Arabidopsis thaliana: one gene and its partner. The protein of the gene in region 1 interacts with the protein of each later gene in a pairwise test. Each region holds a gene or a part of one and is shown on either strand. Other genes may lie near its edges.

Region 1 (15,740 bases):
TTTAGATTCACAGAAAAAATTAAATATAAATATGTTGTTGTGAAAATATTTTTATGAAAGTTTTTAAAGCAAACCAAACTTCAAATATTTAAATCAAAAAGAATATACATGTAGATATATAAAAACAAAAAATGATATACATGTCATTTACCAATATCTCTATTAGAGAGAATCTCTATTAGAGAGAATCTCTATTAGAGAAGAGAGAGAAAAGTGTCTACTTTACTAATTTATAAAAAAACTACCCATATTACAAATTATTTATAGAAAAAGTGTCTACTTTATAAATTATCTCTATAGAAAATGGTACAAAAATAAACCCAGTTAGCCATTTCCATTAGAAGTTCTAAAACTAAGAAAACTTATAATATTATCTAAACAATGAAATATAATTTATTTATTTTAATTTAAATTTAGGATTAGTTTTTAAAAAATCAGGATACAATTTTACAGAATATTTTATGAATTTAAAATCGGATTATCATTATTTCCCTATCTAGCTAGGTAAATAGTTTTTATCCCTAATTACTGAATAATTTATAAATAACTTTAACACCAATACTATCAATATATTATATAATCTGTAGATAAATTTGGATGATTAATTCGAATATACGCAATGTTACAAAAAAAACTGCACTTATCTTGTTTTGATCCAACCTGAAAAAATGTATGGTGCGGAACTTTCTTGATACAAAAAATAAATATTGTATTAATAAATTGATGTCATTTTTTACATGTATTATATTTTATATTTTTATTTTTAGTAATAATATTATAAATTAATTTACAGAATATAACTAATAATATATTTTGATTTATAGGTACACATTGCTATTAAATAGGGAGAAATGAAAGAAAATAAAATCTCCGGCACTTAAATCTAATGTTCTTGGTCTAACCAATAAAGAACTATGTTTATCAATCTTATTAATTATTAAAGATAAAATCGTTTAAAAAGAAGATAAACTTAATATTTAATTCCAAACCAAACAGGATGAGAAAATCATATTACTAGTCGAACTCAAAACCGAAATAAGAAACAGAAAACCCTAAATCCTCTCAAATATTGCCGATCTAAGTACTTCTTACATCTTGGGAATCTCTGTGTGAGTATCGTTGTTTTGACTCTCCAAACCTCTGTCGCCGTCATGGAACCACAACCGTCGTTAAATCCTAAGCTCCATCTGCTCTGTAGCTACGGTGGCCGTATAATGCCCCTCCCACCAGAAAAATCCCTTCACTACATCGGTGGCGAGACGCGGTTAGTCATCGTTCCACGTGGCATCTCCTTTCTCGACTTCTTCAAGCTTCTCTCCGACAAGCTCCTATCTGGCCGTTCCTTCTCTCTCAAGTACAAGCTCCCTAGCTGCGACTTCGACTCTCTCATCACCGTCTCCGATAACGAGGACCTACAGAACATGATCGCCGAGTATGATTCCACACGTTTACGGCGTATCCGTCTCTTCCTCTTCCCGTTAAATCACGTCGAGTTAACGCGACAGTCCGTGACTGTTAATCGGTTGCTAGGTCTCGAGTCGCCGATATTTACCTCTTTGTCTTCCGTTCTTTCCAGCCCGATTTTCGCGCCAAATAATGGTCCGGTACAGTTTGTCCATCACAACAAGGTCAATGCAACCACAGCAGAGGAGAATCGGAGACAGGACGAGGCGGCATCTACAACATCCTCCTCTATGTTGCCGCAAGAAAACACCTCCGCCGCTAATGATGTGGGAGGATTTTTAGATAGGGAAACAGAGATAGTTGAGATTCAAGACCAGCCACGGCCAATCCTTCAAGAGCCTTTGCCGCAGCAGCAGCAGCAACCATTAATAATCTGCTATTTACCAGTCTGGCAGATGCGACCACATATGGTTACTTATCCAGTGGCTGCTTATGCATTGACTCCAGCAACAGAACATTCTCCTAGGTTAGATCCTGTACCGGAAAATCAAGAAAACGCGACCTGATGGGAGTTTCTTTCACGTCAAGGTATCTTTCAATCCTTTTGAGTTTGGGAGTCAATTTTTGTTGTAGAATATAGCGTATGGAACACGTTAGGTTGATATCTCTTGGACCGTGACTGATCTTCCTTTCCATCAAGGAAGTTTTGCACCTTAAGGCCGGAATCTTTTTCTTTATATATAATGAAGGCTTAATAGTGGTTATGAATTAATTGTAGTTTAATTGTCTTATTAGCTCTATGATGATCATGAGATTATTATCTTCTAAAAAGAGTCAACATAATCATTGGATTGAATAGGGTCATTTGACTCATTTCTCAGTTGGTCCTATCGGCATCGGAGCCTTCTCTTCCTCTCATCCTAAAGCCCGTAATCTTCTGTCCAGGATCCGCTGTTATAATGTATATGCGGAAGGTGTAAATAATCTTTGGGATCAAGGTTCAACCTTTTTACAATACCTTTGACAACAACAAAATCTATCTGCATTGGATTTATGTGTAATTTGGATTTTGATAAATTTGCAAAGACTTAGATAGGTTATTTAGATATTATGTAGTTATTTCCATTATACTTTTTTAACACTATGTATTATTAGTTTATCCATAAAAGCTATTTTAATGTCAAAGGAAATAGAACAAGGTGTACTTGAAGATATTGGATTTGATGATTATCTTTACTCAAATTTTAATACAATTCTGAATTTAATTGAATATGTTATTATTAAAAAGTCTCCTCGATGATTTCTCACATAATATTCAAATATTAGATGTTGCTGAGTTAGTTTTAAAATTGTTTTATCAATGTTAAATAGTAGAAAGTAAGAAACCAGATAATTACGCCCACCAAAAAAAAAGAAACCAGATATTTACGGTATTTAAAATATAAAAAAAGAAATTCAGATATTTCTTATACAAAGTAAATACAAATATATCAAATATGGGTTTTATCATATGAAATTTGTTTAAAATGTGATAATATCTAATAACTTATGAAATTTGAAGAATAAGTAACATGAAAAGATAAATATCATATTAACAAATAATAAAAAAGATAATTATCAAGATAATCTATATTCTCAAAATTACAACTGATTTTGCTTTGTTTATAAATATAATTTTTTTAGAAAAAAAAACAAATTATTGGCCTCCCAATCTTTACCGAACACTTCATAAAACAAAATCTTTGTGGTATTTTTTTCATTTGTTTTGTTATTTGTAGTATTTTTCCAAAATATATAAAACAGAAATTTCCGTATTTTAAATACTTTCAATTAATCATAAACACATACAAATATTTAGATATAAGATCAATTCATCTAACACTTATCCTAATTTTTTAAATTGAATTACTTGTTTTAAGGATCATACACTGATACTAGGTCCGGTTGTTAACAGATTAATTTTTCATGAAGACCAAAACATATCATAAGGTTTTTATTAAAAGAAAATGGCGGACAGTAGGCGCCTAGTGTTCGAGTATTGACTGATCAAATCATTAACTTTTAATTTGCAAGATCCAGTAGTACTAAGTTCCGAACGGAATTTAATTAAAGATGGTCTCATGGCTAAAACATAACTCGTAACATCTAAACCAAAAACATACAATTTTATTATAACAAACAAACGAAGAACTGAGGCTAAAACATAACTCGTAATATTTAAACCAAAAACATACAATTTGATTATAACAAACCAACAAAGAACAACTGAGAAAATAAGAAAACTTAGCTAATCGAAACTTTTATCAAGTATCTATATAATACAAAACGGCACCAGCTTCAGTAAACAGTCTCCAGTCGTCACATATTCCCTGCGAACCCTTGTAATGCTGGAAATGAAGAGAAATTTAAAAACCAGAAAGATAAATAATCTTTAACGAACAGATCAGAGTATGGCCATAAAAAAAAATTACCTCCGAAAAGAACTGCAAGGCGCAAGTTGTTCGTGTACTCGATAACGCAATCAAGGATGGCGTTGATATCAGACTGTAAGATTATACGGAAAAAAAAAACATTAACAAAACTAACATTTCCCAAGAAAAAAAAATCAGTTAACAAAGGAAGCAGTTGTGAACCTGTGGGCAGTTGGGTGTAATTTCCTTAAGTGTTTCTAGTTGCCTTCTTATACGTTCCCGCCGTTTCTTCTAAGGTATCCAAAGAAGAGAAAAGAGTAAATCAAGAGTTTCTTGGGGAAGACGTATCATAACAATACAACTATTATTGGTTACCTTCTTCAACAAGGTATCATGATCAGATTTGTCTGAAGATTTAATCACGCACTGTGTCTTAACTCGCTTCTTCTTTCCTTCTCTCCTCGACTCAGCTGACCTCTTTTGCCCTACTTTCTCTACACCTTTTTCGTTGTTGATCCTACGCAAGTCACTATTCGCCTCTGGATTAGTGAGCGAGTATAGTATCTCAAACCATTGCCGAAGAAATACTTCGTCCTTGTTCATTCTTTTGATAGTTTTAAGTGATTCTTTACTGATAAGTTTGGCTGATTTGAGTTTAACGCAGACATGCTTCAAGGGTACTTATACAGGGAGAAAAGGATATATATGTAAACTACTCATGACGAGAAACAACAACGTTTGCCGCTCAAAAAGCTACTCTTCGTCACTAAGTTACTAATTCTTTAAATAAAATTACATTTATGTAAGGTGGACATCTAAGGTTCATAGATATAGCCAAGAAATGTAACGTGTCCATTTTTGACCTAAGTCTACGGTTTAAAAAATTAGAGATTTTGGAATGCAGGATATATACACACATAATACGACAATATTAGGACCTTACGAAGTCACGAGGCTCTTGTAATCGTTTACTCAGAACTCCACATGCATTAGGAGTACTCTACGTCGTACCTTTAATACAAATATTTAAATATTTTCGAGAATGATCTAATTAATCTAGTGATGTAAGTTACAATATTTCTGAATGGTACCTTCCGGTTTAGAGAGAACCTTGAGTTGCTAAGGGAGATATCCGGTTATAAAACGGTTCATGCGGCAACCTTGTTTATCATGCGGCAACCTTGTTTGTCATGCGGCATGATCTTTGTCAGCATTCAGCATGTATGTTGGGATTTAGACTTTCTAAAATCTTATCTAGCACTAAAGTTTTGACATCAGCCTTATTTGTCTATATGTATGGGTGACATGGTAATAATTTCTTTAACTAAATCTCTGGGATGATTTTTTAAATTAATTTGTAGTTTCTTTAAGAAGTTACACAACATGAGGTTATAACAATTTTACGTGACATATTTATAACTCACAAATGAACTATTTTTTGTTTTTTATATCTCAGGTGATCGTAAATGCTTTATAATCTCGGGATATGGAAAACAATGTTAAATTGAGCTATTTTGTTTTTGAAATATGAAAATTCATAGTTTAAAATTTACACAATCGATATAATATTCTACAGATTGAGAAATTTATTACCCGTATATAATGATAAGTAAGATTGATTTCAAGAACTTTTGGATCATGAGTCCCTCTATTTTGTTAGTCTTAGTTTAGGACTCTTCAGATTCAAAGTTTTATATATTAAAAAAGTAAATAGTTTCTAAACATGAGTGTTATATCATCGATCCAAACAATTGGTTTTGACAACGTTGCACTATTTAGGTAAAATATGCATCCATGGAAACCAAGATTAATAAACATGATGTTTCGAAAATATTAAAGAAAACTGCAATAGAGAAAGAAAAAAGAAAAAAAACACAAAGACCAAGTGAGATCATGTTATTGCGTAATACATGTGGATTGCGTAGTTTGGTAATGATGTTAGATAGTCTATGCGCTCCAGTGCTCCACAGCAACGGCTAACTTCTCGAACACACGCTCCTATTTTCAACGTGCCAAAGTTAGAGCCTAGCTTTGATTATCTTTTCTGGTCTATACTCATATTTTGCTGCTCCATGTATCCACCATCTCTTTTACTGGGGCACACTATATATATGTAAAGTGCTTTTACTGATAAAAAATAGTAAACAAAATGATATTTTAATCTTTTTACGTTCTCGTAGTATTCTTTTGTCCAGTCTAATTTACAAAGACTGAGAACATTCATTCTTCACTTAATATTATATAGTGTTGGTGCCTTGGTGGTATGGATGATTGATATGCTGAGAAAGCAAAGCATAAAACATAGGTCCAGGCATGTCTGTTCAATGTATGATATCTCTTTTAGCAACACTTTTCTTCTATCCTATCGGAACTGCAATTACTTTTTTGGTGTCATTCTCATTCATGTGCTTTATTTTATAGGAAATTTTAATTATTTGAAAGAAGTTTCTATTATTGGCTGTTAGTAAAACCTCTAAAATTAATCTCACTACTATGAATCAGCATCTATAACTTCATAGTATATCACCACCACAACTATGTTTTTTTTGTTAAATCCCAAACTGTTATTAAATGTGAAAGATCTTTAATCAAATACATATAGACAATCTCCATTTGTATAACCTTATGTTTATTTCCTTTTAGTTAATTAGCTTGAACTAAGTTTCACAAATTACATTTACATCTACACATTCACATGCACATACATTGAATATCAACTAATTTTAAAACTGATTAGTTAGTATACGTTCGGAGTAGCTAGACAACTATAGACATCATGATTCACATTTTTCAATAAATTGATTACTTGATGATACAAATGTGTGTGTTAACGGCTGGAAAACATACAAAGAGGGACATCATAGTTCATAAAGGTGTTCCCTTTATATATAGTTATACATAGAATGTGGGATAATCATGGAGCCGTACTAATCACTCTATTATTTTCTTTACAAAATAAAGTAGAAGTAGGGGTATTACTTTTTCTACTCCAGCTTACTCTTGTCTACTGCAACTATTATTCATTCGACTGGAACCATTAGCTCATACATATCTTGTATACAATTACTTAAAAATTTGTATTGTAAATGATAATCATAAATATACATTTTTGTTTGGTAATTATAATCATATTAAATATAGTTAATTGTTAAAGGTCGGTTAGTTTGTCTCATTCCTTTTGAAGTATGAAAATCACAAATTTTCATTAAGAGAAAACGAAAAATAACAAATAAAACAGCTTCTTTTAATATTAAAGTTTTTTTCTTGAAAAATTGTAATAATAATATGTGAGCTAAAAGTATATAAAAATTGGCATAAGTGCTCTTTCGTTATGATAAAGAAAGTGCATGAATTTCTCCGCAAGAGCTAATCTTTTGCACATTTGTCATCATCATTCTCAAGTTTTGTATTTTCCCATCATTCTATATCACTTAAACTATTCAACATTGATTTTAATTCACCAATAAATGAAAACAGAAATTTGTATAAATAAAAATACTAATAAATTGTTGATCTCAAAAAAAAAAAGTTGGGATATTTATAGATAGATACCAAAGTCCAAAGGTCCAACTTAGGAAGCCCGAATCTTCTATCAACGTCTCTCACAGTCCCTTTTCATGCTTTCACACTCTCACTGCTCTTCTCTCTCCAATTCTCTCATCAATCTCCGCAAACTCTTCTCATTCTTGATATCTCCATTACCAAAAGTAAACTCTTGTCCAAATTCTGCTACTTTTTTGTACTGATTCCTCCGAAATGTCGGTGGGATCTCTTTTATTCATGTTTCTTCTTATCTGGAACTTCAATGGCGAATTGAATGCTCTAAACGACGAAGGGTTTGCTCTTTTAACTCTGAAGCAGTCTATTTCAAAAGATCCAGATGGTTCTTTAAGCAATTGGAACTCAGAGAATCAAAACCCTTGTTCTTGGAATGGAGTCACTTGTGATGATAACAAGGTTGTTGTCTCTCTTAGCATCCCAAAGAAGAAACTTTTAGGTTATCTTCCTTCTTCTCTTGGTTTACTCTCTAATCTCCGTCATTTGAATTTGAGAAGCAATGAGCTTAGTGGGAACTTACCTGTTGAGCTTTTTAAGGCTCAAGGTCTTCAAAGTTTGGTTCTTTATGGGAATTTCTTGTCTGGGTCCATTCCAAATGAGATTGGTGACTTAAAGTTTCTGCAAATTTTGGATCTTTCTCGTAATTCTCTTAATGGGTCTATTCCAGAATCGGTTTTGAAGTGTAATAGGCTTAGGAGCTTTGATTTGAGTCAGAATAATCTCACTGGTTCTGTTCCTAGTGGATTTGGTCAGTCTTTGGCTTCTTTGCAGAAGCTTGATCTTTCTTCTAACAATCTTATTGGTCTTGTTCCTGATGATTTGGGGAATTTGACTAGATTGCAAGGAACTCTTGATTTGTCTCATAATTCGTTTAGTGGCTCGATTCCAGCTAGTTTGGGGAATTTGCCTGAGAAAGTTTATGTCAATCTAGCTTACAACAACTTGAGTGGACCAATCCCACAAACCGGTGCTTTGGTGAACAGAGGACCAACTGCATTCTTGGGGAATCCAAGACTCTGTGGCCCTCCATTGAAGGATCCTTGTTTGCCAGATACGGATAGTTCTTCAACTTCTCACCCTTTTGTACCGGATAACAACGAGCAAGGTGGAGGAGGGTCAAAGAAAGGAGAAGGTTTAAGTAAAACTGCTATTGTTGCAATTGTGGTTTGTGATTTCATTGGAATCTGCATTGTGGGATTTCTCTTCTCTTGTTGTTACTTGAAGATTTGTGCACGTCGTAATAGTGTGGATGAGGAAGGCTATGTGTTGGAGAAAGAAGGGAAAGAAAAGAAAGGTTCCTTCTGTTTCAGAAGAGATGGATCAGAGTCCCCTTCTTCGGAAAATCTTGAGCCACAACAAGATCTTGTTCTGTTGGATAAACATATTGCTTTGGATTTAGATGAGCTGCTTAAGGCTTCAGCTTTCGTTCTTGGAAAAGGCGGGAACGGGATTGTGTATAAAGTTGTCCTCGAAGATGGTCTAACGGTCGCTGTTAGGAGACTGGGAGAAGGAGGTTCCCAAAGATGCAAGGAGTTTCAGACAGAAGTTGAAGCAATTGGGAAGCTAAGGCATCCGAATATCGTTAGTCTTAAAGCTTATTATTGGTCAGTTGAAGAGAAACTTCTCATCTACGACTACATTCCTAATGGAAGCCTTACCAATGCACTCCACGGTAAACTATAAAACCTTTATGATAATACTTCTCATATCGTTTCTCTGTCTTGAAAACTCAATTTTGGTTTTTGTGTATGCTTAGGAAATCCTGGAATGGTGTCATTCAAGCCTCTGTCTTGGGGAGTTCGGTTAAAGATAATGAGGGGAATCTCAAGAGGGCTGGTGTATCTTCACGAGTTTAGTCCTAAAAAGTATGTTCATGGATCTCTGAAACTCAGCAATATACTGTTGGGACAGGATATGGAGCCTCATATCTCGGATTTCGGACTTATGCACCTCTCTAGCATTGCTGGAACATTGGAATCAACTACAGTTGACCGACCATCCAACAAGACCGCCTCATCGATTGGATCATCTGCAAACTTGAGCTCATTTTATCTGGCTCCTGAAGCCACTAAAGCAACAGTGAAGCCATCACAGAAATGGGATGTATACTCATTCGGAGTGATCTTGCTAGAGATGATAACGGGAAGATTACCGATTGTTTTCGTGGGTAAATCGGAAATGGAGATAGTCAAGTGGATACAAATGTGTATCGATGAGAAGAAAGAGATGTCAGACATTTTGGATCCTTATTTGGTGCCTAATGACACAGAGATTGAAGAAGAGGTCATCGCCGTGTTGAAAATTGCAATGGCTTGTGTTAGTACTAGCCCCGAGAAACGTCCACCGATGAAGCATATCGCTGATGCTTTGACCCAAATTTGCCTTCAGTGACTCGTAACAAAAACGGTTGCAAGTCAATTGTGTGTATGTAATGTGTTTAAAGGAAAAGTCTTACTGTTGTTGTTAGTTCCCCTTGTAATATCGAAATCTTATGTTACTTCAAATAGAGTTTCTTTGTAACATATAGCTTTACTCATTTTCATGGTACATACTATATGGATAAGCTTCATAATCATAAGGTTACACATTTATGATAAAAGTATACTGACGTCACACACAAAAGATAGATAAACCTATATATACTGATCATGGTAAGTCCTTATTTATGGAGTTTAATTATAGAAAAAGAGAATAATTTCTCTGAAAATTCATAATTTTCTTATGATCAAAAGGGTAATGTTGAACTGAAATTAGGAGGCTGTGTTCCAACGCTTTCTCTTAAAATCCTTTCCATCTCTGCTGCACTATGAATATTCCCTCCCTGTAATCATTTTTTTGTTAATACAAATCCATGAAAATGTTTTATCTTATTATAATTTTAATCATGTAATATTATGTGATAGTTACCTGAAATATATCCGTTGGCTCAATATCCAAAGAATTAAGGTCGTAACATGCACTTGCCGCTGAGAGTTTCATGGACAAAAACTGTAGTCAAGAGGCCAAAGCAGGAAAACATTTAAGTATTAGTGGGATATTATAAAAGTTAATGGGATGTTTGAACTTTGAAGAGTGAAATCAATGGCCTAACTAACCTCGATTTGATTCTGGAGTGATCGTACATAATCTATGATGACATCAAGCATCACTGCCATTCCCATTGCCTGCATCACGTTTTGAATTATCATTATAGAGAATAAACCCATTTTGATTTATTACTGTGGAAAAAAAAAATCGCTATACAAAAAAACAATCTGTTCATTTACGTAAGAGACGCTGCCACACCCTTTTAGATTTTGGCGTTCCGAAAAAACAAAAACAAAAACTAATTATTTCTATAGTTTTAAAATATTCTATCACATGATTCCTAATTTTTTACACTTTAATTCAATGATACATAGAAAAAAAATATTAATAGTTAAAGAATTGTGAGCTTGAAAAATTATCTTTAAAAAGTGTTTTTAAACCAAAAAATAGCACCAGAGTTACTTGGATTTAGAGGTAACTAATTTATCTAGAGTTACTTGTTTTTAGAGTTTTGTTGATTTTATTTTAATTACAAAACAAAAATTAGGGAGTTGTAGACAACAAACAAACAAAAAGAAATATTAGGGTTTGCGTTAATTCAAGTACCTTGTAGCATCCTGGAACAAGGTCTTGTAAGCATTTCAGCCTTTCATTGATCTTCTCTCTTCGTACCTTTATGCATTCCACAAAGAATCCAACACAACTAAGAAAAGTGAAGTTTTTTGTACTTTTGAGTATATATGTATTTGTAGAATTACCCTTTCAGCCAAACTATGGCTATCAGTAGCTTGACCTCTCTTAGCTCGGACATGAACAACATCTTTTGGCTTCTGAGTCTCATCTCCATTCATGGCTTCTTCCTCTTCCGACCTCTTTCTTCTTCTCTTCGACCCACTCTCTTCTTTATTTCCTTTTCTTCTCGTATTACCTGCGATTTCTAGCTTCATCAGAACACACATAAACATAGATATAACAGTTTTTCCCACAAACAATAAAATTATAAAATTTTCACCGTGCAATAAATTTGGGAAGAAGTGAGAATTATTGTGATTGGCATCAACTAAAGCTCCATTGGAGAAAAGCATGAAACTGGAAGGGGTAGAAGCTGGTAAGTCCAGATTTATTAGCTCTGGATTTTGGTTAATGTGTGCAAAGAAAGGATCATGACCATTATTATAGTTATATGGCTCAAACCGTGCCATTAGAGACACTACAAATTAAATCAAAATATGATTTCCTTTTTGTGAGCTAGTTTTGTTTTTTTTCTTTCTCTAAGACAGTTATAAAACTTGCAATTGAGTTGTGATTGTTTATATAGATAGAAATGTCTAAGATGGGGTGAAATATTTAATAAGTTAAGTTTTTAAATGATTTGGTTATTTGCTCATGTATTGTGTGACTTTTGGTGAGAATGAGAAAGAAGCGTGTGAGACCAAAGAGACACTCGTAGCTAGGTTTCCATTTATCACTGTGCAGTAGATTTTGTGGGACCCATGTTCAATGTTAGATATATCTAACTTGTCGGGACCTTTTGAGTATCCCTTTTAATGTAACAAGTATGGTGCCAAATTGAAACCGAAGAAATTGCATTAATGATCTACGAGCGATCATCACAAGTTTTGCATTATTAGGCTATCGGACAAAACTTAAGTACGACGACTTAACATTAAGCGGCTATCTCGGCTAGTTGCCGGAAATACTTACATTGTTTTTGGTAAAACTTTTGTTTTATTATTATTATTATTATTATTATTATTATTTAAAAAATTTGGACCATTTGTGTTTTTGGTAAAACTTAAATCGATATTGTAAGAAAATAATAAATATTGTAAGAAAATAATAAGATTTATATAATATTTTCTCAAAATAAGTTAATATAATATTTTCTCAAAATAAGTTAAGTGTGAGTTTTGAAGTGGTCTAGGCAGTTTCAAAGACTTACAGAGGCTGTAGATGGCAAAACTAAAATAACATAGTAATCAAAAGGATGCATATCTTAGTTTGAAGGTTTGGATGGTTGGAAGAGACTTAAGAACCTAGAGTGGATACGATTATTTTCTCCACAACTGTTACGATTAACATGTGATTAAATTTTTCAATCAATGTTTTAAGTAAAGAAATTAGGAAATTTGACTTTAATGACATGGATATGATTGTGAGGAAGCAGAAAAATCCAAGCCCATCTCCATTGATAAAGATTGGCTTTACTACTTTCCATTTTCTTACATCAATAATGAGGCAACTATTCAATTACTAATAGTTCTACGTTGGGAATATCTCGCTTTCACATTAATTTTGTTTCGTTTCCCCTACTTTCATTTTACCTTTACGTTACTTAAAAATGGTCAACATAAATTGGACAATCTCTTTAATAATTTCCTATGCCTAATATGTATTACTAAGGAAAGAGGACTTATTCATGAAATTTTATTTACTGGGCCTTTCTAGGCCCACCTTTTTTTAGCCCATAGAAAAATGGGGGAGATAATAATAAAGGGGCGACCACAATTGAACCAGACCAATAATTTGAAAAAAACCGACAGGGGAGTGGTGAATTCAACCGGCCATTGAGAGCAGTCTTGCAGACTTCCAGTAAAATCCTCATTGAGCCATTTATTCCTAATTATGATTTATGATTGCTTTTGTTTTTGTTTTTGTGCCTAAAGATGATTGTTTGTTACCATAGTGTCGTCCTCGGATCAAGTGGGCTCTAAAAACGTCACGAGTCGGCATTATAACACCATCGGCAAGTGTGATAGTCCAACATCTAGGTGTTGGCGACGAGTCCACATAATAGAATTTTGGTGCATCTTTTTTGAGATTGATGGGATCAGCTGACCGAGTTCATATATATATATACTCATTATGTTTTTAAAGATAGATTTTTAAAGAAAAAAAAGTCTCTATAAACGTTTTATGTTATCAATACAAAATTTAGAATTTTTTTCCTATTTTGCTCTTCATTAATCATTACTACATGGTTTCTAATTTTTTGTAAAAAAAAAAATTCAGTCGTAAGACTAGTTTTTTACATTAATTAAAAGACACATTCCAACATTCTCTCTTCCCTCAATGCACCGAATATATAATTACAATCTTTTGTGTCATCAAATAAAAGTATCATTTTTATGTAAAAGTAAATATGTAAAGTTAAAATAATCATTATATATTATCTCTTAAATAACGTGAAATCTCTAAAAACTTCATCTTTGTAAGAAGGATAAAATATATTTTTTAACTAATCACTAATGAGTTTCCACACAAAAAAACTGATGGGCACAATTTACCACTAATTCTATATTTGGAAATCTTAATTACTCTGCTGTCTCCACCCCATGTTGTCTCTATTCTTCTTTCCATGTGTTTCTATCTTTTCACTTTTGTTCTGCCCCACTAAACTTATCTTGAAATAGAAGTTGTGTTATTCAATTATCCATAAAAACGAATTTCTTTTTATGTTTCTCAGTTCTCAAATTATCAAGAATTTGAGAATGAATAGTATCCAACTATCCAAGAATGACACGTGTTGCTTTAGAGTATCTTAATCCAAGATGGTGACTTCGCGGTGCCAAGATATGATTGATTTTTAATACGTCGAACTTAAATGCCTGTACTTTTAACAAGTTGCAAAGCCTGTTCTTTTAGCTCGTTATTACTTCTGATGTAGTTTTAAATAGATGAATTATTCGTTTCTGTAACCAATTTTTTAAAAACATTTTTTGGTTCATGCTTTCACTAGACCCCGGCCGTTTTGCCTTTTAACAATGTGTGTGGTGAATTCACAAACACATATCTCATTAAATATAGTATACAAGACTCGAATTCAGCATCTACCCCTATATAGGTTCAGAAATGTATTAAATCATAGTAAAAATTGTTTTTCCTTTTCAAATTGGTTTTCTTAAAACCAATGATATCTTTTTCTTCATTGTTAGTTCTATGAAAAAACTACGTACAAGCGTAGAATTACTGACTAGTCTCTACAACATATCGTCCCTGCATAACAAATATATATAGTATATTTATTTATAACCCTTAAAGTGTAAATAACTATTAGAGTGGAAAGCATAAAATACAATAAAACAAATAATTATATAAAAGAAATGATATAATGTTAATTTTAAACAATTCCAAAATATATGCGTCAATACTTTAAAATTTCTAGTGGTTGAATAATCATGATCTATATAAAGAAAGTACGAACATTATCCAATATCACGAGTCTATAAATTCCATACAACCATTGAATTCACTTTCACTTCCCAAATCATAAAAGCCTCTCTCTTAGTCTATTTTTATCTCACGGCTCTCTCTCCCCTCTCTACACACACAAACACAAATAAAGCGTAAAACTGAAATATTTTAATTACAATTAGAAAGAGAACATATTAATATGTCAAATATAACAAAGAAGAAGTGTAATGGAAATGAAGAGGGTGCAGAGCAGAGGAAAGGGCCTTGGACACTCGAGGAAGACACTCTTCTCACCAATTACATTTCCCATAACGGTGAAGGCCGATGGAATCTGCTCGCTAAATCTTCTGGTAATATTCTTTTCTTTTATGTTTTCTTTGTACTATTCCAACAAAATGCAATTGGTGAAAATGTCTTCCTCCCACTTCATATTTTTGTATTAAAAGTTTGATCTCTTTTTACAAAAAAACAAAAAAACAGGGCTAAAGAGAGCAGGAAAAAGTTGTAGATTGAGATGGTTGAATTACCTTAAACCCGACATAAAGCGTGGGAATCTCACTCCTCAAGAACAACTTTTAATCCTTGAGCTCCATTCTAAATGGGGTAATAGGTAAGTTAGTTACTCAAATGCTCTCTTTAGCTTTATAATTTTCTTATAATCTAACGTGTAACATGTTGCTTCTTAATTAGGTGGTCAAAAATTTCGAAGTATTTACCAGGAAGAACAGACAACGATATCAAAAACTACTGGAGAACTAGAGTCCAGAAACAAGCACGCCAGCTCAACATAGATTCCAATAGCCACAAGTTCATAGAAGTTGTTCGTAGCTTTTGGTTTCCAAGACTGATCAACGAGATTAAAGACAACTCATACACCAACAATATTAAAGCTAATGCTCCTGATTTACTTGGACCAATTTTACGAGACAGCAAAGATTTGGGTTTCAACAACATGGATTGTTCCACTTCCATGTCAGAAGATCTCAAGAAAACTTCACAATTCATGGATTTTTCTGATCTTGAAACCACAATGTCCTTGGAAGGATCACGAGGGGGTAGTAGTCAATGTGTGAGTGAGGTTTATAGCTCCTTCCCTTGCCTAGAGGAGGAGTACATGGTGGCCGTTATGGGCAGTTCAGACATTTC
Region 2 (15,806 bases), on another chromosome or scaffold:
CATCGGTCTAAGCTTCATCGACATCAAGCATTCTCCTCTATCCATCATATGTAAGATTTTTCTATGCAGTAGAAGAAGTTAAGGTGAGTGTTTTTTTTGTGTTTATTTATGTGGGAGTAGTGAAGTATGTAGATTTAGACGCACGTAGACTTATATAAAGAGAGACGCATATAGATAGAGGTATGTGTGTGTGTGTGTGTATATGACTATATGGTTAAAGCATTGAATGTGAGAAAGCAACGTGGAGAACCATGAGTAAATAGGGAGAGGCTTTGATGGGGAAAGTTCTCTTTTACTTTAGTTACTCGTATGTCTTCACTCTATACATGTTAAATGTTTAGATATTAATAATTAGTTGGTGTGAGCTTTTGATTTGATAATAGTTAAATTAATGCCAGACGCAACTTAAGTTTTCCACGAGTCTACAAAATTAATAAGTCAGAGTCGATATTTTCTAATAACACGTAGCTAATAATATGACAAAAACTATGGTTTAATTTGAAATCTTTATAACAATTTTATGGAGTCTAAAATATACACCATATATCATCGGAATCATCGGATGTATGTGGCTGTGAGGTACAGGGGCCCAACAATTGATTTATGATTAATTATATTGATTTAGCTAATTAGACAATGGAGCCGTGGGATACTGACAATAATTTATCGTGTGATTTATTTACAATTATTATACGGATGAAAAGTAGAGATATTTGCCTGGAATTTAGATTATTTTTATCAAGACGTTAATTGAAGGACTCATATGTCAAGAGATTCTTTCTACCTATCATTGTCGCCATATTACGGGTTTTAAGACAGTACGAGAGAAATAAACAAAACGAGATTGGAGTACAAACTACAAAATATCCAAACCAAAGTGACTTAATTAGAACGCAAAAATATATTTTTTGATTATTATACGAAGAATGTGATAAACCGCTAAAACATGAACTTCGTTTTCGTAATTTTGTTGAGATTGTTGCATCAATTTTTTTATTATTTTTTTGGTGTCGTAACAAGACGCCAAGACCTTTTCAATAATTGAAGACATTATCACATCATTTCTCGGATAGAAGAAAAACCCACTTACATAAGAGGCTTTTGGGCTTGCAATGGTTTACGATTCAGATGGGCCATTGGGCTCCTAAGAAACTTTTAGACTTTGATATTGGATTTATATAGATATTTCAAGCCCAACAATAACTAAGAAAGATCCAAGAATTCCCAAGATCAAAATAATTTAGAAAATTGAATATTTTTGTAATATATAGATTACATGTTTATTATACATAGATTAATTGTTCAAAATGATGAAATATCTTTTATGATAAATTATATGATCTTAATAATTAAGAAAATTAAATATATTTTGTTTTTTATGACGGAAAGACAGTTCATAGTTATACTATATACCAATTTAATTCTCTTTATTAATTTATAATAGCATTTTATATAGTATAATATTACATTAATTAGAATTTAACCGAATGGTACACAATCAATTTTACAGAGACCCCTCAAATGAAAAACTAAAGACATTGTTTTAGAAATCCAACTTTAATTGGAGGGTTAAGATATGCTTAATCCTTACCAAATTGCATATGATAAATAACGCGAATGTAAATAACAAGACTGATATACAAAACATAAATCAGATTTATCATAACAACAAAACCATGCTCCACAACTATTATATATAGATCCATCGTTTTTAGTTCGCGTCGAATTTTGTTGTGCTTAGTAATAATAATCCATGTTCTGGAGCCATTGATGATTCACGAGCATTTCCTCTGAGTTCGTGAAGAACCCATCATAGCAGTTTCTTCCGTCGGCATTGTTCAAAACACTCTCGTCGACGAAATTGGTCGTGGCCATAGTCATCTGATTCACAAACTCCGGTATGTTGTTAAGTTGTGATCCGTTTTGATTAGAGTATGAAAAATTCTTCATCTGTGACCCGAGAAACTCAATCTCTTCTTGCAAAGTCACAACCTAAAAAAATAAACCCACCAAGCAACGTGATCAGACTGCTTGAAATGGTCTAAAATCTCAACAAGAATAAAAGAATATCGTTCAAAACTTTAAGAGACCTGTTGATGAAGAGCGAAGATGTGAGCAACGCAGCCATAAACAGGATCACGCATGCGAGAGAGAGCCTCGTAGGAGATGGTGATAGCAGCGATGTTTCTTTGATGTTGAGGCAAATGAAGCAAATGTTTAGAGACATTACTTGCGCCGAAGACTTTGTGAACCGCTGCGAAATGGGAAGAGGCTTGTTCGTAGCTGAAGTAAGGCGAGAAGACGCAGTCGCGGTTGCATTTCCTCCTTAGAAACTTGCATGCTCCACAAGATGATCCATGACTTGCCATTTTTTCTTTTACTCTGTTTTGTTTTATGTTTTTACCTTTTGTTAGATTGAGACAAATCACGTTGGTTTTTATAAGCCCCACCACTAAAAGTTCTTGAAAGAAGGGCAAAAGAGTTCAATTTTGAGATAAACATCAATCATTTTTATAACTTTATAGTATTTTACTTACACTTGATTGATCAATATTCTCATGAATAGTAAGGTACAAATTAGACACTATAGTTAAATTACATTTTCGTTTTTTTTTTTTGGTACGAGTATATATGTTGTATGGAATACATATATGTACGTCGAATTTTCATAATATCCAGTACGTGTCTAGCTAGTGTCTCTTCTCCTAATATAAAATTTGATTTAGCTTATTTTCTGGGGGTCTGCATCGTGGCCTACATTTTCATGCTTGTTTTGGGCAAGCCCATATTTTATTTAATGGCTTAAAGTGCCTTTTAAATTTTCTTCAAAAATCATTTATATATATGCTTAGGACAAACTAGTCTTTTTTTCCTTATTTCTCAACTGTTAAATAGTCTTTAGGCTTTACGGAAATGATAAATAATTGGTTGGGATACAAATGCAGCCATTTTGCATGGGGTGACACAGACAAAAGGTACAGTGTCTTAGAAAAGGTCAATCTCCAATCAACTTGGTTGTACATTGAACTTCTTTATCGAAGCCAATCCAGATTTTTCTTTCCTTATTAGTAATCAAACCGAGAGATATATACTATTTGATACGAATAGAAATTATACATCAAAACAAATAAAAAAGTCTTTTTTTTTTTTTTTTGTAAAATGAGGAAATCAAAGCCTAATGTTATACAAAATCTATAATAATTAGCATTACTCCGATCCACACATAGATTTCTGGTCTGATTTAGAAAGATTTCAAGAAGTTGTTGCTATTTTCTCTCTTTTGAATATATTAGTATTGCTAATCATAATAGATCTCATAACAAGATAACATTAGCTTTATCACTAAAAACCAGAATATTTAAATTGTTCTGTGTATGTAGTTGTTTTCATTTGTTGGAATCAAACGCTGTCTGATGTCGAAATTAATCAAGCCCGCATCTAGATGCCAGCACACTTAAAATCAAAAATACATTTTCTCGCCAATTACTCGTCGGATTAGACAATAGTCATATAGAGGTTATGAATCATCCTCCCCTATATATATCTACGACTATGTTGTCTTGATAGATCAATAATTATTGATAACCTAAATGTCTAAATTTAGTGTCCATTTGATTTTAATCAATCTATAACTGTGATTATTATATTTATAATTGGCCCTTTCTTTGTTTGCCACTTATTGTGTTGGATGCGCAAAATAAGAAAATTAAACACCAAAAAAAAGTCGGCGACTATGACCCATATGCCAATAACATTGAACCTACTGTTGTAAGTGCTCCCTTGCAAACCTCATTGTAGCTAGTTTTTATTTTCTCCGTAACTTTAACGCATTCAAAAGAACCACATTTTATTATTGTTTTCCAAAAATAGGACACTATATTTCTAATTAAAACCAGTTAAAGAAACCTTCTTCCTAAACATTTCCTTACAGAAATGATGTTAATTTTATAAAACGTGTTCATATACTAATGGAACTCGAAATACCAAATGAGCTAGAAAATGCAGACTAAGACCCAAATGCCAATAACATTGCAAAACATATTTGGATACAGCCTTGGGAAGATGTAGTCAAGCACGGAAGAAACAAAGAGACGTACAAAAGGGAAAAATGGGGCATTGGGATTGGGACTAACGAGGCGTTCACCGATGGTACTTACCACTTTCTACTTTCGAGATAGCTACATCGTTTGTCTTTAATCACGCATGCAATCATATATTAATTAGTGACATTATTTTAATACGAATTATAACTTTAACATTTCATTCTTCGTTTCTATATGATATTGTTATATGTGAATCCTACGAGCCTAGTCTTCCTGTATGTGCGTGTCATTAGGCTCATTCATAATTAATTCTCGTTTCTAGCTATCTTTTGTTTTGGTGGGTCTTAAAGCCTATTGCCCAACCGGTGTCATCTGTTTTATGGACTAAATTATGAAAACATTTTTAATTTGTATCTTCTAGAACTTCGTTAGTAGTTATATAACACTACCCCAAAGAAAAATAAAACAGCCAAGTGACGGACAAAAACACAACAAATATTCTTTTTGCTATTATAGTGACCTACGGATTACGGATGGTTTAAATACTAGCTAGTTGGTGTAGTCGACCGATTTTGTTCACAAATTCGATTATTACATTGTTTTTAACATTTCAATTTGTTGATATGTATATATATATATATATATATATATAGCTACGTACCGATTAGTTGACCTATATTAAAACCGGTCTAGTCGTCGATTATTAGAAGAATGAATTATGTATGTGTCTCGATGAAGCAACGTACCATTTGACTTTAGTACGTATATAGACTATAGTATAACTTCAAGAATCGCACATTTTTGTTCAGATATGTTTCTCATGCAAGTTGTTGATTTTCCAACCTAATTTTAGTTAACATAGTCACACCTGATTAAGATAGAGAACAATTGGAAGAAGCAAAAAACCTCGCACCAAGTCAACGACGAAGAACTAACACTTTTAAATATGGAAACTTTCAAAACTTAAGAAAGGATGTTAGGGAAAAACATTTATCGTTTTAATTACCACATCTTGTCTTGCCTTTGCTGTGCAACATTTTTCATTTTATTTAGTTAACACTATATATTTTTAATTAATAATTGGGAAATTAAATAAATGTTCAGTTTAATAAATAAAAATATTATTTATTCATATAAGTTTTTCTATTACATATAGAAATTCTTAGTACCGATTGCGTTCAATTGACAAAGTCCACCATAGACTGAAAAGAAAAAGAAGCCCAAGAGAACCCACATATTTGATAAACCAAATTGAACCACGCAAGCAAAACGTAATTATTCGATGAATGTGAAAACGGTCAAATGAATCAAATATGTTAAAATTAAGGGCCGAATATCCACAAAGTACTATGATGATGTGACGGGATGTTAAACCTGTCGTCTGTCGACCATATATAAATCTGTTAGTACAAATGCCAACAAACAAATTAAATCTGTCGATCATACAGTATTTAATTTTCCGTAATAATACACATGCCAACAAAGCAAATAAAGGGTCCGTTTCCTATTCTCACAATCTCCACACACGTACATGTTACACGTGTAGACATATGGACACATTCCAAATGTACGCGCATACATAATATGATCTTCATATTTTTAGGTGTACACGTGACCTAATATTGGCGCAGCCAAACCGAAAATTCGGAAAATCAAGTTGGTGAAAGTTAAGCCATCAAATTGTTTCGATTCGTTGATTGTAAATCTTACGTGTAGTCAATATAAAAAGGAATCAGAGAACACGTACGTGACATTCAGTATCTTATCTTATGTGTTCATACATTGACCTAAACTAATTATTAATTAAATTGACATACAAATTAATGCGTTCATAAACAAAAAAAGTAGTTGCGAAACTGATAAACTGCCGTGTTATTGCATTAGAGACAAATGACTCCAACCAACCTTATAAAAACAAACTTTATAATCCACAATTTTCCATATTCAAACAAATCAAAAACTCAAGAAACCACACACCCAAAAAAAGAAACAAGTTAAGTTGTGATGGAGTCATCAACTACAACATCGTATTCAGTTGTGTCGGAGCTAGAAGGAACACTACTGAAAAACCCAAAACCCTTCGCCTACTTCATGCTCGTAGCTTTCGAGGCTTCAGGACTAATCCGTTTTGCGACCTTGCTGTTTCTCTGGCCTATCATAGCACTCCTTGACGTTTTGGGCTACAGAAACGGTAGCCTTAAGTTAATGATCTTCGTCGCAACGGCCGGTTTGCACGAATCAGAGATTGAATCAGTGGCTCGAGCGGTTCTTCCCAAATTCTTCATGGACGATATCAGCATGGACGCTTGGAGGGCGTTTGGTTCGTGCGATAAGAGAGTCGTTGTGACAAGAATGCCACGAGTTATGGTGGAGAGATTCGCTAAGGATCATCTTAGCGCCGATGAGGTCATCGGTACAGAGATTGTCGTAAACCGTTTCGGTTATGCTACCGGTTTGATTCAGGAAACCAATGTGGACCAATCTGTTTTCAACAGTGTGGCTAACTTGTTTGTGGATCGGAGACCTCAACTAGGTCTAGGACGACATATTATCTCGGATTCTCCAACTTTCCTATCTTTATGTGAGGTAAGTACTAAAGACAACATAACGTTAGGAATTCTTTTAGGTTGTTTTATAATTTATGAAAGCGTTACTATCATTTTTCTAATCTGAATGATTGCATATGTTATGTACATGTAGGAGCAAGTTCATGCACCAGTTCCATCGAACTACAACGGTCATAACCAGCGGCTACATGTGCAGCCGTTACCAGTTATCTTCCACGATGGACGACTTGTGAAGCTACCAACACCAGCCACCGCACTCATCATCCTTCTTTGGATCCCCTTTGGAATAATTCTAGCCATGATTCGGATATTCGTTGGGTTCTTACTTCCATTATGGGCCATACCTTACGTCTCACGGATATTCAACACTCGATTCATCGTAAAAGGAAAGCCTCCGGCACAAGCAACCACCGGAAACCCAGGCGTACTATTCGTATGCACTCATAGAACTCTAATGGATCCGGTCGTATTATCCTATGTGCTCGGACGTAGCATTCCAGCTGTTACCTACTCTATTTCTCGTTTATCCGAGATCCTATCTCCGATTCCAACCTTTAGGTTAACTAGAATTCGAGATGTAGATGCGGAGATGATCAAGAAAGAACTGTCTAATGGGGACTTAGTGGTATATCCCGAGGGAACCACTTGTCGCGAGCCGTTTTTGCTGAGATTTAGCGCGCTTTTCGCAGAATTAACCGACAATATTGTGCCCGTGGCAATGAACTACAGAGTTGGATTCTTTCATGCGACTACCGCTAGAGGCTGGAAAGGTTTGGACCCGATCTTCTTTTTCATGAACCCGAGACCGGTTTATGAGGTGACGTTCTTGAACCAGCTCGAGGTGGAGGCGACGTGTTCGTCAGGGAAGAGCCCTTATGACGTGGCTAACTATGTACAGAGAATCTTGGCAGCTACGTTAGGCTTTGAGTGTACTAACTTTACGAGGAAGGATAAGTATAGAGTTCTCGCAGGGAACGACGGAACCGTGTCGTATTTGTCGTTTCTCGATCAAGTCAAGAAGGTCGTCACCACTTTCAAACCTTTTTTGCATTAATTTACAAGTTATTTTGATAATTATATACTCTAAATTACGCGATCACTGATTGCTTAAGTTTTCATTTTTAAAGATTTTTTTGTTGAAAGTATATTATGACTACGGTTTTGTGTTTTTTTTTTCCTTACTTTATAAATTGTCGAATGTAATCGCAAGTATATTAACCTTTTTGTTAAAAGTTGAAATTAAATACATGACAACGTTTTTACATATCTTTCAAAAGAGAGCCCAATAGAATAATTTCCTTGGGACATTTTCGCTTTATGAAAATACGTTGACAAAATTGTCCAAATATTCTATATATCTAACTACTTGTTAGTTAAATTTGGTTATGTTTAATTTACATCACATCTTAAAAGAATGTATAGAATTGTTTTCAATCATACAAACTAAGGGTGAGAAAAATAATGGTTGGTAATGCACAGACGATTAATAGTTTGGTGGTGGTAGCTAAGAAATTGATTAAGGAAACTTGAGCTGCAAATATCATCTTATAACTTTTTTGATCAAATAATAGTTAATTGCGTATTTGGTTGGATGATGACAATCTCTTTGACCGCCAAATTTTTAGCTGCCGCCTTCCCGTTAGAGTTGGCCAACTTTTAGATTCGCCACATTAACAAAATAGTTAATAGTACATGCTTCAGAAAACAGTTAACATTATAAAATTTTCTAGATTAATTAGGTTAATAATACTAAAGAAAAATGTTTTATTTGTTTGTTTTATTCTTAAGAAGAAGAAACGTAATGGGCTTTAGTATCTCTAACTTGAATTCTGTTGTGGGCTTTTCTTTAGGATCAGAAGTAGGTTTCGTAAGCCTAGTGTTGTCCTTATACGGGAATATACATACGTATAAACATACGACACAACATGAAATGAGATAAAGAGAGTGACCAAAAAAGGCTGCAAAAAGGTGACCAATTCAACTCTATTTCTTTCTTACAAGTTACAACTCTTTCAAATCAATTATTCAATCTCACTCTTTTACTATCTGAATGCATTTCAGTTAATAAACCAAAAGGATTGTCTTCATAAGCTGCTTTTATTTTTGCTTAAGCTTTGATTTAGTAAAAACTCTGATTAATTTTTAGTAACATAATTACAATGCTAATAACAATAATAAAATAGTTAATTTTCACAAGTTATCGTATTATAATATATTTAAGAAAACGTTTTAGAAAAAGAAAAATGGGATAGAAAGTAGAAAAGAGTAAAAGGAAGAGAAAGAGCTAAGCTTCTCTCCCTCCTTCCATTTCCACTCGATGTTCAGCTGCCCAAGCTAAGCTCGGATCTCTATCCAGCTTTGGTATTTTCCTTAGCCTTGAGCTTCTCTCCGCGTAAATATAATTTTTTGTTTCTAGATTATCTTTCCGTTTCTATCTCGAATTGCTGCTTTTCATGGATCTATGATTGATTAGTCCTTAGGATCTTTAAAAACTTTCAATTTCAGCTTAGATTTCAAATCAGGTTTTCTGTTTTTTCATATTCATAATCTGATAGTATCTTCTTTGTGCGTTCTGATCTATTTCAGCTGATCTTTATCTGCGCTTTCGATTGATGTTTGCATCAGCTTTGTTGTTGATCTTCTTCGTAATAGACTACTAATCTTCTCAATCTAATTTTTATTCTCTGTTGGTTTTCAGGTATCCAGCGTCTGACAGTTCTGGATTTTGTTTTTTTTTTCTTTCCTTATTTAGGGTTTGTTTTCCTCTTTCGTCTCTTTTAATTCTTTATGACTATGAACTTTCTTTATTTCAAGCTGAAGTTTTTGGTGTTTAGGTGGGAGCTTGATGTCTAAATTGTTACTGTCAGTGGTTTAATTAGAAAAGAGATGAGTTACACGAGCACTGACAGTGACCATAATGAGTCACCAGCTGCTGATGATAATGGAAGTGACTGCAGAAGTAGATGGGATGGTCATGCTCTCAAGAAAGGCCCTTGGAGTTCAGCTGAAGATGATATTCTTATTGACTATGTGAATAAGCATGGTGAGGGTAACTGGAATGCTGTGCAGAAACACACCAGCTTGTTTCGTTGTGGTAAAAGCTGTCGTCTAAGATGGGCTAATCATCTGAGGCCAAATTTGAAGAAAGGAGCTTTTAGTCAAGAAGAAGAACAGCTTATCGTTGAATTGCATGCCAAGATGGGTAATAGATGGGCACGTATGGCTGCACATGTAAGTGTTTTGTTTCTGATAAGGATATGGTTCCTTTTGTAAAAGTGTGTTTCGAGACTAATTTCATAGAGTTTTTGTTTGCTCCAGTTGCCTGGCCGAACGGATAATGAGATAAAGAATTATTGGAACACTCGTATCAAGAGGCGACAACGAGCTGGTTTGCCACTTTATCCTCCTGAGATGCATGTTGAGGCACTTGAGTGGAGTCAAGAGTATGCCAAGAGTAGAGTTATGGGAGAAGATAGAAGACATCAAGATTTCTTGCAGCTGGGGAGTTGTGAATCTAATGTCTTCTTTGATACTCTTAATTTTACCGACATGGTACCTGGTACTTTTGATCTAGCAGATATGACTGCCTACAAAAATATGGGTAACTGTGCAAGTTCTCCTCGATATGAAAACTTCATGACACCAACAATCCCCTCCTCGAAGCGACTTTGGGAATCTGAGTTGTTGTATCCTGGGTGTAGCAGTACCATAAAGCAAGAATTCTCGTCGCCTGAACAATTCCGGAACACATCTCCACAAACGATTTCCAAAACTTGCAGCTTCTCAGTTCCTTGTGATGTTGAGCATCCTCTCTATGGAAACCGACATTCACCTGTTATGATTCCAGATAGCCATACCCCTACGGATGGCATTGTTCCTTATTCTAAGCCCTTATATGGGGCAGTGAAGCTGGAGCTCCCTTCATTCCAATATTCAGAAACAACATTTGACCAGTGGAAGAAATCGTCATCTCCTCCACACTCTGATCTCCTTGATCCCTTTGATACTTACATTCAGTCTCCACCACCACCAACGGGGGGAGAAGAGTCAGATTTATATTCAAATTTTGATACTGGTCTGCTCGATATGTTGCTTCTGGAAGCCAAGATCAGAAATAATAGTACAAAGAACAATTTGTACAGGAGCTGCGCTTCAACTATTCCATCAGCTGATCTTGGCCAGGTTACTGTATCCCAAACTAAATCCGAGGAGTTTGACAATTCCCTTAAGAGCTTCTTGGTTCATTCCGAAATGTCCACACAAAATGCAGATGAAACTCCACCAAGTGAGTTACTATTCACCTTACCATCACTTGAAATAGTTTGTTGAAGATTTCATCTTTTTCCCTAGAATTCTATTTGGTATCCTGATTTTACTTTTTGAGAATCATCACTTGCATTAATTTGTTTCTTATAGCCGAGATTTTGAGCTGATCAAGAACTCACCTAAACTTAAAAAATTATGCAGGGCAGAGAGAAAAAAAGCGGAAACCTCTCTTGGATATAACAAGGCCTGACGTTTTGCTTGCATCGAGCTGGCTTGACCATGGTTTAGGGATTGTGAAAGAGACAGGTAGCATGAGCGACGCACTCGCGGTTCTCCTTGGCGATGACATAGGAAATGACTATATGAATATGAGTGTTGGGGCATCCTCAGGAGTTGGGTCTTGTTCTTGGAGCAACATGCCACCTGTCTGTCAAATGACAGAACTACCCTAACGAGCCCGGGAAATCCTCCACTCCATTGGTGGTGTGGATTGGATTAGAGCCGTTCAGAATCTGTCAGTTCTCACTTCTCATGGTCATGGACTAGCAACTGCCAATGCAAGAACAATATCTTTTCTTTGAGCCTTTTGATCACAGCCGATACTTTGTTGGCTTCTGTACCAATAACCCATAATGACGATTCATCAGGAGGATGAAGTGGTTGATTTTGTAGAACTGGCTTCTTTAAGGACTATGGTATACATACAGACAGTTGATTTGATTCAATGTTAAACAGAGAATTGTTTCTTTTAATATATTTCTCTTTGGATTAAGTTTGATTTCGCTTTGGTTTATCAACGACTCCCTTCGGCTATTCGTTTGTAGACTAGATAGAAAAATGAAAACAAGATAACACCAGACGATCAAAAAATTAAATAAAGACAGAGAGCATAAATAAAATTAGAACAAAATAGATAAATAAGAATAGATTCGGTTGTCAAAAACTCTATGTAGAATAAGAGCAGCATGATGATGTATACGAATTACGAAAATATGAATTGTAGCAAAAATTGAGTCCACGCTCATCTCTGTCAAAACAAAATCTCAAAGCGTGCAGCTCGAGGAATCGGATAGGTTAGGCTGTGGGTTTCTTGGTTCTGATGACGTCCTTAAGATCAGCAAACTTCTTCTTGCATTGATTCATCGTTTTCCCTGGAACAGCTGTTGCTACTCTCTCCCATCTTTGGTTTGTCTCCTTTGGGAACGTCTTCAAAGCCTGTACCAGAGCTCTTTCTTGCACAGCAGACCAACCGTCTGGGTCTGAACCAGATGCTGCTGCTGGTTCAGAGTTGCCGTTACTGTTGTTGTTCTCTTTGGTCTTACCGTTCTGTTCTGCGGTCTCTGTTTTGGTTGAGTTGTTGTCTTCATGAGCTTTGGTCGGTATAATTGGTTCTCCGAGTTCCTCTCGTGTAGAGAGAGGAGAGTTGATTGAAGCGGCAGGTTTCCTATTCTCCAGAAAAGAGTCAAAAGCTTTAGCTGAGTCGGGTTTCTGGAGAAGTACTGTTTTAGTAGCCTTGAGAATTTCCTCCACAGATCTTCCTGTACCAATGTACTCTGATATGACTTCCCATCTCTGAGATGTTCCTTTTGGGAACTTGGTTGTTCCTTTTCTCAGCATGTCAATCTCTTCCTTGCTCCAAGGTTTCTCTTTCTTCTCATGAGTAGCAGTATCCACTTTGGCTTCTACATGACCATTGGCTTCTACATGACCATTGGCTTCTATATGACCATTCTGCTTAACAGCTACTTGAACTTCTTCTTCTTCAATCTCTATTTTATCATCATCAATGTTGCTCCCATTCTTGATCACCTTTGCCAAAGCCATCCCTTCCTTGTTTTCCATCTTGTCACACAGTTTCCGCAACTGCTCGGTGTTAAGTGACATGCATAGATCTTCCACATGTTCATCAGATATGCCAAGCAGACGCTGGGACAGAACAGGGGCGGAGAGAACTCTGAGCCGACTTCGTTCTTTGCGCAGAAGCTTCTTCTCTCTTTCCTTGGCTCTCTTGTGCAGCTGAGCAGCCTCTGCCGCACGTTTTGCTTCTTCTTCTTTTCGCCTTTTCTCTTCTTCAATAGCTGCAGCAGCAGCTTCTTCCTGCTGCCTCTTGGCCATAACTTTTGCTTCTTTCTTCTGCAGCTTCTTAGCCTTTTCGTCATCCTTTCTTTTCTGTATTCTTATGTCTTTTTTATATGCGTTGTCCACAAGAGTCCTAATCCGAGCATATTCCTCCTTTCTAGCCTTCTGAGTTTTTCTTGCATTCTCTCTCTCCATCCACCTCTTTTCCTCGCGGGATTCAGCTTGCTCGATATCATGCTCCTCTTCTTCAGGAAACTCTCTCCAGCTTTTAAAAGTGTACCAAGTACTGTAGAACCTATCAACCTCTTTAAGTGGTGTATTTTCATCTCCCAAATCTGGTAAAGGCGAATTTGACCACCTTGCGTTTCTCTTAAATGCTGGACCAAAAACCTTGAAGAAGTCTTGGGGAGCACAATCAGTTGGGACTTTGTCATCAAACTCATCTGTAGAGTCAAATATTCTTCTTTTTGTTGAGTCCATCAAAACCTCATAAGCTTCTTGAATCAACTTGAAGTGAGATTCTATCTCATCCTTTTTGGCTTGTTTTGCTTCTTCTGTCTCCTCAAGAAGAAGTAGAGTAGCCAGTTTATCAGGGTGATGCTTCAGTGCAGCATCGCGATAACTTTTTCTGATCTGATCATCTGTTGCAAGATATCTTAAATTGCCCAAACCCAACAACGCATAGTGATCATGTTGTAGCTTCCCCGACTTCTTCTTTCCTTTGATGTTATGGGAGTCATAGGAAGGAATATATTCACCATCCTTCTCCTTAGGGACCTTCTTATCGGTATCTTCGTTCTTGCTTGTGGCTTCCTTAGCACAACCACGCAGTTTGAGAGCAGCAGAATGGAAGGCATGACCCGCAGGTTCACGGTTTAAAGCCTTCACAGGATGACAATTGGAAGAAGCATAGAGCGCTTGTCCATCCTTAAGCTCACTGGAGTATGTAAGTAGCTTAATAGCAGAGTTAATTCCCCAACTCTGCATGATGAAATATGTGTCAGAGCTTCAAGTCCACCTTGCTTCAAAAGTGATCACCAACGTTTATTCCTGTAACAAAGAATCAAAGTACAGTTATATACAGAAGCAGGTATATTTCCATAGAAATATTGACAGGATACAGAAACTACAGATAAACTTATATGAAGATAGAAACTTTTTTACTTTAGATCCACAACCCCAGGATATTTCAAAACGACTGTCTTTGATTAGAATAAGGGACAAAGTAGTTAGATGCACAACAGAACGAAGCAATCAAAACCAAGAGAACAGTGTCACAAATCCAAATAATCCACAAGACCTAAAGGCATTCACAAAAGCCTTATAAGAAACCAGAAGCAGTAAATACGTATTACAACATCCTCTCTGAAACTTGTCAACGGAGGTTGAAACAGAAGCGAGTCAACAAACAATCAATAACTCAATACATAGCTCCTAAACCCTAGTTATAGTTACCCTACTTAAAATCATCAACACAAACAATAAACATAGAAACCCTAAGATTTCGTCTTTTAGGGTTTACCTCTTCAAGAAAAAATAGATACAAAGTCAGATTTTTTAAAGCGATCTCAACAAAATCGACCCAACTCAGAAAAGAAAAACAACTTTTCTCACCAGAAAGTGAGCTTGCCTTTGCCTAGATTAGCCTGCCGTAAGTTTCTCCTAAGAAGTTATCGCAGTCCAAAAGAGACGACGAAAACGAGAAGAGTTCAATAAGTTCAGGAGGAAACGGCGGCGGCAGCGCAAAGAAGAGGAAGAGAAGGAGAAATAGAGAGAGACAAAGCAGTTTGCTTAAAAGTGGGAAGTATCCTAAACCTGTTTGACACACTCTTTTCGATTTTATACTATTCAACACAACCAAGCCCTTATTTCTTTTTAAGCCCATTTTACGTATGGTCCTAGGACCATTAAATTAGGCCCATATTGAAACATCTCTCGAGCCAGAGAGAGAGAGAGGTGAGGGAGCATCTGAACCAAAAAAAGAAGTTAATATAATCGGTGAATTCTCTTCTTCGGCGTTATAAACGCTGTCATCGCCTGATCAGACTGCACGTCTCTTAATCTTCTTCTTCTGCTTCGTTGTAACCATCGACGCTTCGCTTGATCGAGATTTAGTTCGCCGGAAAACTTCACCGAACAACAAATCTGATTAACTACCAGCTCAATCTCTGGTAAGCCAAACTTTAGTTTCTCACATCGTTTGCTTTTTCCGAGTTTTTCTCTTGCTCGATGGTTTGTTCTTCTTAATGTTGTGATTCGTGAAGTTGTGAAGATCGATGATAAATCTTCTTCGTGTTTGTTTGCGCCAAATGATTAGGATATTATTGAAATACGAAATCTAGGTTTTCTATGTGTTCATTTCTCCTTACTGTTTCCGTTTTCTGTGCTCAAGTGGTTATGATTATCCTTGCACAGTATCGAATGGTTACCACTGCTATTGTCTACATACTTCGTTTATTGTTTCATCAACACATTTTTCATTGCGCTTTCATAAAATCAGATAGGATTTAGCTGTGGCGGAATGATACTGTAAAGTCTGAGCTTAATATCGTCTAAGAGTTTTGTTTCTCTTCCATTTCTGCTGTAATTAGCTTATATAGCAGCATTTTGATAATGTGTGGTCTCACTTAGAGTTGTGTGTCAGTCCGGCGTTTTGTATGACTAGTATGAGTATTTACATGGGTGGTTTGGCAACTGAATTTTGATTTTTGGCCTTTAAACAGAAATCAACCCGAGTACTGAGCTGGAGTAAGGTGATAGACAGCTTGAATACATTTTCCATCATGCAGAGTTAGGAACTTATCTCTGCCAGTAGGCTTTTACATATTTTTCTAATACTATTTGTGTACCT

What was found.
Region 2: the proteins of AT1G25320 (region 1) and MYB33 interact in a protein complementation assay, tested with the Arabidopsis thaliana proteins (one large-scale study listed by BioGRID).

What each region holds. Positions count from the first base shown.
Region 1 is NC_003070.9:8,870,417-8,886,156, forward strand, and holds AT1G25320 (Leucine-rich repeat protein kinase family protein), read left to right. Parts: upstream 1-7,373; 5' UTR 7,374-7,571; coding exon 7,572-9,045; intron 9,046-9,129; coding exon 9,130-9,764; 3' UTR 9,765-9,972; downstream 9,973-15,740. Other genes in the region: AT1G25300 (Octicosapeptide/Phox/Bem1p family protein), read left to right, coding at 1,152-1,970; MEE8 (basic helix-loop-helix (bHLH) DNA-binding family protein), read right to left, coding at 3,708-3,791, 3,889-3,948, 4,038-4,103, 4,191-4,418; CES (basic helix-loop-helix (bHLH) DNA-binding superfamily protein), read right to left, coding at 10,099-10,194, 10,281-10,361, 10,469-10,537, 11,007-11,072, 11,159-11,328, 11,413-11,602; MYB116 (myb domain protein 116), read left to right, coding at 14,794-14,944, 15,090-15,204, 15,285-15,740.
Region 2 is NC_003076.8:1,829,059-1,844,864, forward strand, and holds MYB33 (myb domain protein 33), read left to right. Parts: upstream 1-8,776; 5' UTR 8,777-8,971; exon of another isoform or gene 8,972-9,308; 5' UTR 9,309-9,363; exon of another isoform or gene 9,364-9,444; 5' UTR 9,445-9,496; coding exon 9,497-9,841; intron 9,842-9,928; coding exon 9,929-10,895; coding exon of another isoform or gene 10,896-10,939; exon of another isoform or gene 10,940-11,077; coding exon 11,078-11,328; 3' UTR 11,329-11,669; downstream 11,670-15,806. Other genes in the region: RBE (C2H2 and C2HC zinc fingers superfamily protein), read right to left, coding at 1-48; LBD33 (LOB domain-containing protein 33), read right to left, coding at 1,738-1,992, 2,091-2,369; GPAT7 (glycerol-3-phosphate acyltransferase 7), read left to right, coding at 6,048-6,629, 6,744-7,664; AT5G06110 (DnaJ and myb-like DNA-binding domain-containing protein), read right to left, coding at 11,951-13,942; AT5G06120 (ARM repeat superfamily protein), read left to right, coding at 15,739-15,745. UniProt on the Arabidopsis thaliana protein: Transcriptional activator of alpha-amylase expression that binds to 5'-CAACTGTC-3' motif in target gene promoter. Positive regulator of abscisic acid (ABA) responses leading to growth arrest during seed germination.